Caenorhabditis elegans: one gene and its partner. The protein of the gene in region 1 purifies or fractionates together with the protein of each later gene. This does not show direct contact. Each region holds a gene or a part of one and is shown on either strand. Other genes may lie near its edges. The genes, in order: sec-3 and enpl-1.

What was found.
Region 2: the proteins of sec-3 (region 1) and enpl-1 fractionate together in Caenorhabditis elegans (co-fractionation; one large-scale study listed by BioGRID). This does not show direct contact.

The regions. Positions count from the first base shown.
Region 1 is NC_003284.9:3,094,900-3,101,530, forward strand, and holds sec-3 (Exocyst complex component 1), read right to left. Parts: upstream 4,954-6,631; 5' UTR 4,939-4,953; coding exon 4,809-4,938; intron 4,763-4,808; coding exon 4,635-4,762; intron 4,208-4,634; coding exon 4,109-4,207; intron 4,058-4,108; coding exon 3,680-4,057; intron 3,631-3,679; coding exon 3,458-3,630; intron 3,411-3,457; coding exon 3,239-3,410; intron 3,165-3,238; exon of another isoform or gene 3,029-3,164; intron 2,930-3,028; coding exon 2,683-2,929; intron 2,637-2,682; coding exon 2,282-2,636; intron 2,233-2,281; coding exon 2,106-2,232; intron 2,058-2,105; coding exon 1,796-2,057; intron 1,748-1,795; coding exon 1,623-1,747; intron 1,172-1,622; coding exon 1,073-1,171; intron 1,024-1,072; coding exon 772-1,023; 3' UTR 529-771; downstream 1-528. Other genes in the region: ztf-13 (C2H2-type domain-containing protein), read right to left, coding at 5,582-5,710, 6,182-6,299, 6,346-6,500, 6,552-6,631.
Region 2 is NC_003282.8:11,117,449-11,123,675, forward strand, and holds enpl-1 (Endoplasmin homolog), read left to right. Parts: upstream 1-1,849; 5' UTR 1,850-2,002; coding exon 2,003-2,048; intron 2,049-2,265; coding exon 2,266-2,335; intron 2,336-3,183; coding exon 3,184-4,201; intron 4,202-4,275; coding exon 4,276-4,851; intron 4,852-4,917; coding exon 4,918-5,490; 3' UTR 5,491-5,707; downstream 5,708-6,227. Other genes in the region: imp-2 (Intramembrane protease 2), read right to left, coding at 1-135, 416-1,225, 1,347-1,415; Meiotic recombination protein spo-11, read right to left, coding at 5,711-6,119, 6,166-6,227. UniProt on the Caenorhabditis elegans protein: Molecular chaperone that functions in the processing and transport of secreted proteins.

The DNA of each region.
Region 1 (6,631 bases):
CCTAATTTTACTTTTTCTACGTTACCATGTTTAGTGGTTAGATCGGTTTATAATTCTCTTATAAACCTTCACAGTTACCTCTTAAAATGTTAAATTTTGTTCTGAAGTTTTCCAAAATAGATTGCGGCCTATCAATTTTACCTTTAAATCGAGTGATGAAAAAAAATGCGCTGTTAAAACAATTCTTACATGAAATAGTTTTAAATAAGATATAAGTACAGGGTGGTCCATAATTATGGACCACCCTGTATAAATGAGTCAAAAAATGTATATAAGAGTAAAATGTAAAACATAAAGTGAGATATAAACGGAATAACATTATAGAAGTTGTTTTTATTAGATTTAAATCGTGTTACACCCCTTTTTTATTAAAAGTTGCCAAAGTGTGTTCTTCAGAAAACACACCATTTGCATGTCAGATTCTTAAGTTGACCAGTTCAATGCAAACATTCAGTCAAAATTTCTACAAATGTGTAACCAAGAAGTCAGTTCCGTGAAATTTTTGTGAGCATTTGAAAATACGTGAAATAAAAGTCACCAAGCAAGACATTTATTTTTCAAAAAAGCAAGCATTACTACTATTTTCGAATGGGGAACACCCGTAAATTTATATTACAGACATCAGTAATGTAACGAAGTTCACCTATTACAGAATAGATAAATAAATATATTACAAAGCATGGTTCAGTAAGTATTAGAGTTCTGATAAATTAAAACTAAATTTTAAATGAATTAAAACAACAAAATTCAATAAAATTATTCGTCGTAATATTAGTGTTGTTGAGCAATTTCTGAGAAGAACTGAAGTACAGTGTCAGTGGAAACTTCGAGCTCAATCTTCGAGCCTGGGTAACAAGTGAGAATCAGTTTGTTGTATTCCGCAATTTGCTTGACAAATTGCTCTTGCATATCTCTCCATACAACTTGCAAAAGTGATGAATTGGCAACCAGGTTCTTCTCAATTTTCTTGTACAGTTGCTCGAGTCCTTTTTTCACTTCTTTTCCCGGATGTTGTGAAATTACCTGGAAAATTTATGAAATGGCGATTTTGATGATTAACTAGAAATTCAACCTTTTTAAGCTCAATGCGACTGAATTGTTGTTGATACGAGATTTCATCAGGACGAATTCCACGCGTTTCGATAAAGTTGTTGACATTGTCGAAGAACGTCTGAAATTTTTGGAATACATATCGATAGTTTTGGGAGATTTTTGTTTAAAGGTGGAGTACCGAAATTCGAATGAGATGTTTTGAAAATTCCTCAAAAAAAGTTATGGAGGTTCAAAGTCGGAAAAAAGGTTTTGCAGCTAAAATCACAATTTTTACAACTTCTCGGTGTCGCAGCGTCTGGAACTTAATTTTTATTTATTGATCACTCTTTAATAAATTTGTTGGTCTTTTATTGGGCGTATATGCGCTGAATTGTTGGGTCTAAAATAGCAAAGCCTCAAATTTTGGTACTCCAACTTTAAACTATGGTAGAGTGCCTTTTTTTACAAATGTTGTAGAATGACAAGCCAAAATTAGAAAGAAAAAACTAGTTTAAAGCATAATAGTCAAGTTTTTTTTCAAGCATTGGCAGCACAGTATTGAAACATAAATTTCCATATTTATATATCACCTGAATCTCTTTGAGTGGACGACCCATAAACTCTTTTACGTACGCATCAATATGTTCTTCCTTGAGCGCTTTCGCATCTTTTCGTTGTTGATCCAAACATGAGATTTTTAGCTCCGACAAAGTCACTGAAACATTTATCACCATCACACTTTATTGTTTCCTAGAACACTTACAATAGAGCTCGTGGTAATTTTCAAACTTGACTACAGACGACGGAGACTTGCTGTATTGATTGGCGGCAGCTTTTTGTATCCCGTCACAAACCGCCCGGCAAAGATTGAAATATGCCTTCTCCAAGTCAGTTCTTCTCTCGGCATTTTCAAAGATAATTTCAGCACGTCTCACAAAGTTTGCAAAGCGAAAAATTGATGGGAGAATTCCGATTCTAGTCTTTTTAGCAATGCGAACTTCCGAGTACTGGGAACATTCCATTTGCTGGAAGAGAAGATTATTGCAATTACAGTACATATAAATGGAACTCACAATAAATGCATCAAACTGGCGTTTTATCAGAACAACTAAACTTCCAAATGTGATCGAAAAATAGGAGCTTGGGTCTTGTGGTAGAAGCACTTTCTTCGACATGATTACAAACAAAAGGAGAACATTGCTAAAATGTGTAGGAATTTAAAATAATATGTACGTGTACCTTTTCTCACCTAGGATTGTGCCTACAAACCGCCCGACAGAAACTATCAAGATGAATATTGAGCGAGTCAAACAAGTTGCCCATAACGTGTCTCACTTGCTCGTTCATATGTTTCTCCATACTACGTCCTCCGAGACTTGAGCTATCACCGCTTCCAGTTGAAGTCGTATCGAACTGAGCCAACAGCTCCGAGTTGATGTGGAAGAAGCGGACAACGAACTTTTGCTCTGCGTCAATCACAGCGCTCAGTTCTGCCAGCACCGTTTCGATGAGTTGCGGTAAGACTTCAGTATCAATTTCACTGGAGGTGCTCAGGAAACTCTGGTTGTCAGAACGAAGTGAAATGTTTGCAGATTCATTTGCTTCTGAAATCAGATGATTATTTTTTGCTGCAAATATTAGCAAACATACTTGACTTCTTTTCAGAACTGTTAGCTTTTGGAACTTTGTTGATCAGTGTCTCAAAGAAATTGTCAAATAGACGTTTGTAAAGTAGATTCGTGCTGTCGATATACTTTTGCAAGACTAAATTGCAAGCCTTTGGACGGTTCGTTTTCAGCCAGTTGATAAGATCAGAGAGTGGAGAAAGGGCGCGAAAGCGTTGAGACTGTTTTGGAATACACAGTTCATGCCACTCATGATCCAAAGATAAGTCGTTCTGAAAAAAAAACACGCGTTGAAAATGATTTTATACAGTGCGCGCGCTTGCTACAGGATTCTTCTAAAATTTATAATAGATGTATTGAAAAAACTCCACATTTTAACGTGAATCTATTGTGAAATTATGGTATGTGATGTAAAAAAAGCTTCGCATGCGCTGTAAAATATCTGAAATTCGAGAATTTTGGTTGAAATTTTCAAAAAATTCAGAGGGTCCTTTAGCGAGAGCGTGACCTCCGGAATTCTCTAATACTTCTACAATTTAGGGGGTCCTCGAGCAAGCAAGCACACGTTCATTGAAACTTACCAAATTCGAGAACAGTGCAGAGAGGTGAGACATGAGCCTATCGACAAAGACATCCACTGCGGTAAGCTCATCATTTCTGTCCTGATAGGCTTTCATTTGAAGCATTGGCTTAGAAATCCTCCCGTGCCAGAATTGTGCAACAGCGCGTGCAGCGTCCGTGCATCTTTGAACACTGAAGTATCATAATATTACTTGAAAACTCTAAGTTGTTCACTCTACCTTTCTGGGTTACTGAAGTTAGCTTGTTTCAGAGTCTCAATGTGGGAATCAGTAACAGCCTGCAACGAATTGACAAATGAAACGATTTCCTCGTTGAGACGTTGCTTGTTCTTTCTTTCAACCACCGATAAACTATCTTTCTCTTCGATCAATTCGATACTGTTCCTCACAAACTGAAAATAGTTGATTAAAATTTCAATAAATTCCTTTACAATGTAGTACCGCCAAAATGTCATCACAACGATCAAGCTCTTTTTCGACCGACTCAACACCGGTCAATGCTGCATCAATACTCGAAAGCAACTGGTTTACGGAATTCTCACTGTCCATCATAGAGTTGATGTTGGCTCCATCGAGAGATTGCAATTGCTCCGTCAGCATTTCGGCAAAAATATGTGCTTCACCAATAGTCAAATTAGCTCGCGCAATCAACTTTCGAAAGTCTGCGTCCTCCTTGTTGGATATTGGCTGATAATCACTTTGCATCGCCATATCATGCTCAGGAAGCTCAATGGGTATAATGGAGGTTTCTGATTCAAGTTGCGGTAGAGAGAAATTGCAGAAATCTGGCATCTGGACTGGAAGGTATTGGCATGACAACTAAAATACGAAATTTTCAGTAAAAAAGTTGAAAGTATTATAGTTGGATACCTTGTAGAGTTCTCGAATGAACTCGTCCTTTTCCTCAGCGGAACCAGCCAAAATCACATATTGATGATCACCGATAGTGATGTGGAACTCTGGTGATGCCTGAATTTTTTTAATGTTTGTCAGTTGAATAAAATTCTCAATTTTTTTTAAACCCAAAAAAACTTGAAGTAAATGCGAATTTAACTAATTGATAAGCCATTTTGTCAAAATAATTCCTGCAATTTGCATCATCTTTTCGACAAATTTAGTGTACAATAACTATTCTTTCAACAACTTCTCACCTAACTTTAGCTAATTGCAATTTTTACAATTGATAAAGATCGTTGAAAAGTTGCGGCAAAATGGCGAATTTTTAGCTATTTTAGGTTGATAAACTCCATCAAACATTAGTGTTCGTAAAACTTGAAAATCCTCAGTTATTCGAGAAGCTTCACATTTTTTGCGTTATGTTCTTCGTTACGCTCACATTTGCTCACTACATATATCGTATAAATTGCGTGAATCCATATAATTTTCAAATACTCACTTTTTTCGGATTTATTCCGTCGATTTCTCTGACTTCTCTCAAATTGAACCTGTCCTTCTTTTTGAATGTATCATCTTTCTCCCCTTTCACAAAGTATAAACGGACGGCGATGGGGTGCTCGATTGTGACTGCAAGTTATCGATTTTTATACAGGACAATTCCAAGAATTCTTACCTGCTAAACATAGTAGTGTCTGGTTTTTCTTCTTTTTTCCATCCAACTTTGAGACATTGACTATTGCTTGAATTCTTTCATCGTCTTTCTGGAAAAGTTGCCGCTGGATTATCTTCCTGATTGCAGACATTCAAATCTGAAATTGAAAATTTATATAATCACATTGATTAAGTAGAATAATAAAAATTTTAAACTTAAACCAAGCATTAAAAAAGAAAACAATAAAATCAGGGAATTGGAAACAGTTATGCCCAGTAAAAACATACGGAGTTATTCTGCGTCTCTGCAGTTTTCTGTGGTGACTAGTACACGAAAAACACGCCAGTGGCCGGTTAGCGTGCGCGTTTCTCGATGAACACCACTATTTATATTGCAATGCAGGGAAGCAAAAATAATTTTATTTGGTTTTATTTTTACACTTGCAAAAGATATAGTAATAGAATTGAAACGAATTGATTGACCTGAAAAGATTTATTTTTGGCAATTATTTAAATAGAACACGATTCCTAAAACGGACCGTAAAAAAATGACAATTGAAAGTTTTCAATTAGGAGAATCTGCAAAAGTAAAAAAGAAAGAAACAATAAATAATATTACACGGATCAGAAAAAAAACAACAGAGAGTTTGAAAAGGTCGTGGTTTTGATTTGGAAGTGACTTGAGGCATAAGTTAAAAGTAGAAAAAAAGTAACAGAAAACTTAAGTGAGACAAAAGAAAATGATTAATGACATGTAGCTATATTAAATCGGGGGTAAGTTTCAAAATGAGATTATCACTGAACAGCGTTTCTGACTGGATACATGGTGTAGTTGGTAGTAATCAAAGTGCGACGCAGCGGAAGTGGGCCTGCAGGTGGAAGTGTGTAGTTGCGGTTACGAATTGAAGTCGGGATTTTGATGATCTGATTTATTTATTAGTTTTTACAGTAAATTGTATTATCGCCCCTTTAAATTTTTTTTTATAAAACAAATGTGGACATATGTATATTTCAATACATTTTGTTACATTTCGCGACATTACTTGATTAGCCCCATTAGTAATTATTGTATTCTAAAGAAAAAACACACAAAATATGCTGGACAATCCGAATTTGGAAGTATTTTAAATCTTGGTAACTACTGAAACTTGTCCTATTAGACCTGCTAGCTTATATCTCGGTTGTCTTAAATTGTACCAAAAATAGTACAATGTCAATATGTTGAAAATTATTTTACGTAATTACGCAGTTAAAATGTTTTGATAAAATTAAAGAAAATCGAGATATTAGCTGTCAGCGTGAAGCAATCGGTGAGCAAGTCTAATAGTGATAATACAATATGTAGTAGTACCTTCTGACATGACAAGTAACTTAATGCATTTATCAAAATCTTACCGCTCGACCCTTTGAGTACGGAGCAGATCGCACAGTGTACTGCGGCTGACTTGCCGCCATTTTAGAGACGACTTCTCCAAGACTTTTTCCAGGTGGAACCGGTCGAGACGATTTTTTGCTAAAACGAAAAATATTGTTAAAAACCTAAATTTGGTAGTTCTTACAATTTGACTTGGGGCGGCATTGTGCTGAAAGTCAGTGTCTTAAAAACGGTCGCCGAGGGGACGTAGCTTTCCGAAGGCGAACGTTTTATGAATTTCCCGTAAATAAATGTATTTTTCATGCTCGACACAAAATCATCGTGATCTGCAGACTCCAGCTGAAAAAATAGTTCTGCTTTAAAAACTGCAAATTTAGAACTCTATCTAACCGTTGCCAATAAGTCGCTTTTAGCCTGATTGTAAACCACTAAGCCAATGCTACCCGACATAACTGCCTGCAGTTCACACT
Region 2 (6,227 bases), on another chromosome or scaffold:
ATTTCGATAGATATCTTGAGGGAATTGGAGCAAAATCGGAGCATCAATTCCTTTTGCGACAGATGTCATCACGTCTGTTCCGAAAACCCAGAAGATGTCATAGAAAAAGAGACCAACGAGAAGAAGGGATCCAGCCTGTAAAAAAAATTAATAATGATATTAATTAGTCTTTTCAATGAAATTTTTTTAAAACCTATTTTTGCAAATAACGGTTTGATATTTAAAAGTTTCTTTTAAACAGCTTTAGGCCAAAATTGAGAACTATTTACTTTGTCCAAATATTTCAAGTTAGTTCAAAAATATATTATTACTATCTGGTCAATTGAAATTATTCTTCCATTCAGTAAGCGTAATTGTAGCTTTTTTGTCTTATTACAAAAATATTGCTATATTTTTTAATAATTGTTAAATTTACCTTGAAACTGGCCAAATGAAGACGTTCGATTCCCAAGATTGAGAAGCTCACTCCGATAATATTATTGGTGATCCAGTGTCTTTTCAGCAGGTGAGAAATGAGAATTGGAGAGCACATCAATAAAGCGATGATATCGTAACGATCAAAGTCAATTTTGAAAAGATATTCCGTTTCCTTTTTCTTCGCATCTTCGATATCACCCTCTTCCATTTCCTTATTTCCCTTTTTGAGAGAGAATAAGTACGGAGCATTGAATCTTAAGAAGGATGGAACCAGTGGCATCTTTTTGAGAAACGCGGTAACAAATGGCTTCAACAGAGACGCGAAAGCGTTGACTCCTTCGAAACAGATGAGGAAAGTCAAGAGTTGCATACATTCTGCTTTTTGAATTGTTGGTAAGTTGGTATAAGCGTATGTAGCCGCATTTTGAATTGCTTCTGGAACGCGTTCTTGAGGTATCCTTGACGCCAAGCGGAGCAAGAATGGCTCGGAAGGCCCAGTAGTCGTAGTATTAGCGGTATAGCTGATAATAGTGCTATTGATCTTCTGGACATATTCTTCGGGAACTCGCAGAATTTGGAAGACTCTGGCAACCCAAAGGAAGCGTTCGGCGGCAGGCTTGAAGAAGAGGTAGAGACCGAAGAGAACCAGAGAAGCAGAAATAGGGAATTTCCTGGCTTCTCTCATAGTGATCGAACCTTCAATAAGTCGCTTCTTGTCAATATTCGTCCTTATGTATTGAGCTGAACGAATCGATCCAATGATGATGCAGAGGATAGACATTCCGTAAAGCGCCAACGAGCTTGTAGCCTGAATGAAAAATTGATTTAAAAAAGTTCGCATGGCTATTTATCACATTTAATAAAAACTTCGTTGTAATTTTATACTTGTCCACTTCATTTATTTTACAAAATTTCAGTAAAAATCTCACCTGTTCTTCGAATGTAAAAACTGTGACATTGCTAGCCGTCGGCGGGATTTCGGTCGCTGCTTCAGCCATGTCGCGAAAGGTTTGAATTCCCAACTGGAAAAACTGAGATTAAGAAATGGAGGTATATTGCCTGATTGAGATGAGAAACCGGTTTATGAGACGGATAAACAAGTAAGTTTGCTGAGTAACGATCACAAATTTCACAAATTCTCAAGACAAGTGAGATGATTAATTTCTATAAGGATTAATTTAGATGATCCGAACATTACTTGAGTGACTGTTATAATAGAAAGACTGAAAAATCGTCTTTTAAATTAACATATTCCATATTGCTGGATCCGGCAAACAAAAACAATGTTCCAGGACACTCACTCCACGTGTTCTGAGCTGTCGTCTCGGTCGTTGATTGGCTGATTCCGCCTCTGTTTGCAACTAGTAACGCGCCGCAGTTTGCAGTTTTCAGTGAAGGACAACGTGTTTGCAAGAGACGCAGACACTGTGCGGCACTTGCAAATTGGGGCGGGACTTTTAGGGACACGTCGAGAAGGGGTGAGCCCCGGCGAAAGAAAGCAAACAAGCGGAGAGAAAAGGGGAGTAATTGACCGTTGGAAAGACACCTCATTCCATTTATTCTCGGTCGTTAGGAAGAGACGGCGATGAGATTCCTTTTGGTGGGCTTCGTCGCCCTTCTGGCTGTTTCAGGTATGTCTTTTTATTGATTTTCAGAGCTTAGTGAGCTTTAAATAGAAAACCGTAGTTTTGAAATTGTAAAAAAAATTTTTAAGCTTAAATGTACGCTGAAAATATTAAAACTGTGTTCACAGAATAAAAACATTAGGCTTTATTTTTTCATTCTGTGCATACACGCCACGCAGTTTTTGAATTCACGTTTTTATTCCCAACAATCATCACTTTTCAGCCTTCATTCCAAATGTCTACGCCGAAGATGAAATCGAAGACGCACCAAAGGAAACCAAAGAAGAAACAAGGTAATTTTTGATAATTTGATTATTATGAAAAATTGCAATTTGAAAAAGTCTAGAGAATTTTGAATTGTGTTTCGTACATTTTTTGAACAATTTCGTGAATATGTCGAAATCAGAATCAATAACCTTGTTAATTTTTAATTAGATCTAATATATCAGAAATATCTTTCGAATTCGTTTTTCGCTCTTAATATTGAATAGTTACAGTTTTAGCTGGATTAAGTGTTCCAAAAAGATAAATCACATTTTCTTCCACTTTCCAAATAAATTGACCTGTCACTACGTGTCTGTTCCTTTTCCTGGTTACTCTGAACTATCTCAATATTTGTCTACCCCCGGCCTCAGCCAAAACTTTTGAACGGTACCAGGTCGCGTCAGTCCACTTGGTGACTCTCATCCGTTTTGCACACTATTTTGTACTCCCGCGGAGCACTATTTGATTGAGTCTTGCCCTTTGTCGGAATGCAAACAGACTCGATCTACTGCTAGGTTATCTTATCTTGTTTGTGTTTCCTTTTTCTCAAATAAGAAAAATCGGCTGAAGGGTCAAGAGAGACTAAAAGGGTTATCTCCGACCTAGATAATTTAACGTATGCTTTCCTAGATTCACGTAATAGCCTGTCAAGGACGGAGATACGAATCACAAGATTTAATCTTCTGCTAATGGAAGGTGTAGTATTAGGGATGCCATACACGGATTAGAAGTGAACGCATTATTTTCTAGGGTTTCTGATAAAATTTTGGAAAATTAAAGATCAAAACTGTACAATTAAAACACAATACAGTTTAAAACAATTTAAAAATATAACTAGTTAACAAAAAAAATTGAAATTGATAAATAATATTTTCAGAGAGGAAGATTCGATCAAGCTCGATGGACTATCTGTCTCCCAGATCAAGGAGCTCCGCTCAAAAGCCGAGAAACACGAATTCCAAGCCGAAGTAAACCGAATGATGAAACTTATTATCAACTCTCTCTACAGAAATAAGGAGATTTTCCTCCGTGAGCTTATTTCTAATGCTTCCGATGCTCTCGACAAAATTCGTCTTCTTTCCCTCACCGATCCAGAGCAACTCCGTGAGACTGAAGAGATGTCTGTTAAAATCAAGGCTGATCGTGAAAACCGCCTTCTTCACATTACCGACACAGGAGTTGGTATGACTCGTCAAGATTTGATCAACAATTTGGGAACTATTGCACGCTCTGGAACTTCAGAATTCTTATCCAAACTTATGGACACTGCCACTTCTTCTGACCAGCAACAAGATCTTATTGGACAATTCGGAGTCGGATTCTACGCTGCCTTCCTTGTTGCCGACCGTGTTGTCGTAACCACCAAGAACAACGATGATGATCAGTACATTTGGGAATCTGATTCAGCTAGCTTCACCATCAGCAAAGACCCACGTGGAAACACATTGAAGCGCGGAACTCAGATTACATTGTACCTCAAGGAGGAGGCAGCAGATTTCTTGGAGCCAGATACCCTCAAGAACTTGGTGCACAAGTATTCCCAATTCATCAACTTTGACATTTTCCTCTGGCAATCCAAAACTGAAATGGTGGAAGAAGCAGTTGAAGAGGAACCAGCCACCACTGAAGACGGAGCTGTTGAAGAAGAGAAGGAAGAAAAGAAAACCAAGAAGGTTGAGAAGACCACCTGGGATTGGGAGAAGGTCAACAACGTTAAACCTATTTGGATGCGCAAACCAAATCAGGTCGAAGAAGACGAATACAAGCAATTCTACAAGAGTATCACCAAGGATTCGGAAGAGCCACTGAGTCACGTGCATTTCAGTGCTGAAGGAGAAGTTTCCTTCAGATCTATCCTCTACGTTCCAAAGAAGTCTCCAAATGACATGTTCCAGGTAAGAATATTGAAAGTTATATAGCATTTGTTTTAATTGCGTTTAGTTATTTTCAACTAATAATGTTATTTCAGAACTACGGAAAAGTTATCGAAAACATCAAATTGTACGTTCGTCGTGTCTTCATCACTGACGATTTTGCCGATATGCTTCCAAAGTATCTTTCCTTCATTCGCGGTATCGTTGATTCAGATGATCTCCCACTCAATGTCTCCCGTGAAAACCTCCAACAGCACAAACTTCTCAAGGTTATCAAGAAGAAACTTGTCCGTAAAGTGCTCGACATGCTCAAGAAACTCGACGGAGCCCAATTCGATGACTTCTGGAGCGAGTTCTCTACCAATATCAAGTTGGGAGTTATGGAGGATCCATCCAACCGTATGCGTCTTGCTAAACTTCTCCGCTTCCAGTCTTCTAATGATGCTGACAAAACAACTACTCTTGCCGCCTATGTCGAAAGAATGAAAGAAAAGCAAGACGCCATTTACTACATGGCTGGAACTTCCAGAAAGGAAGTTGAAACTTCTCCATTCGTAGAGAGACTCATCGCTAAGGGATACGAAGTTTTGTTCCTCACCGAAGCTGTTGATGAGTACTGTATTCAAGCTATGCCAGAATATGAATCAAAGAAGTTCCAAAATGTGGCTAAGGTGAGTATTGAAGGCTTTTTTCTTTAGTGGCTATGATGTTTTACCTATCAACATGCTATTTTTCAGGAAGGAGTTACCATCGATGATGGAGAGAAGGCCAAGGAAGCCCACAAGGGTCTTGAAGAGGAGTTCAAGCCACTTACTGACTGGCTCAAGGAAACTGCACTCAAGGATCTGATCGAGAAAGCAGTTGTTTCTCAACGTCTTGTCAAATCACCATCTGCCCTTGTTGCCTCTTCCTACGGATGGTCTGGAAACATGGAGCGCATTATGAAGTCGCAAGCTTATGCTAAGGCAAAGGATCCAACTCAAGACTTCTATGCTACTCAGAAAAAGACATTCGAGATTAACCCACGCCATCCAGTTATCAAGGAGCTTCTCAAGAGAGTCACTGCTTCTGAAGAAGATACCACCGCTGCTTCTACTGCCAAGCTTCTCTTCGAAACTGCCACTCTTCGTTCTGGATTCTCACTTCAAGATCAAGTTGGTTTTGCTGATAGAATCGAAGCTGTCCTTCGCCAATCGCTCGATGTTTCCCAAGATGCTCAAGTTGAAACCGAACAGCATATTGAAGAGGCTGAACCAGAGCCAGAAGCCGCTGAAGAAACAACGATTGAGGAGGAGCACTCTGAGCTCTAAACAATGTAAAACATCTCCCCATTCCATTAGCTTTATGCACTCGATGATATTGTGATAAGATAAGATAACTTGTGTTGTTTTCTATTTATTTAATGTTGTTTCTCCCCCCACTTCTCAGTCTCAGTACTTCTCGAACACTTTACGGTTCCTTTCCCCTTTTGTGGTTGTAATTGCAATATATTGCATTTGAAACTAAAATAAAATCTGTTTCATATTATTTTCAATCACTATCATTATCTATCATATTCTGGAACTTTTCTTCAGCATCCGAATCTATATAGTCATCGTCTTTTGCTTCCCGATCATCATCTGTCGACAGCGAACATTGTGAATCTTCGTGGTACTCGTTTATAATCGTCTCTGGTTGAATCGGAATTTCTTTTTCTATCGACATGACTCTCGGAGCAATCAAGAATCGAGCCATATACTCCTGTCCGCACATATTTATTGATTCAAGTTCCATTTTAAATTTATTCTGAATCATCCAGTCTAATTCTCGTGTCACCACTATTTCTCCGAGTTGAATCGATCGAGGAATCATCTTCTCAATTTTCACAAAATCAGTTCGAACCAATGGAAGACATTGTGATTGATCGATGGTGAAACGATGAAAATCAGTTGGGAAAAGACTGGAAATTTGTTGAAATTATGAAAATAAATATAAAATCGTCTTACCCGATCCATTCAATCGTTGGAACAAAGGCTCCTCGGCCTTCGGCAAATTCTTTCGTAGGTCC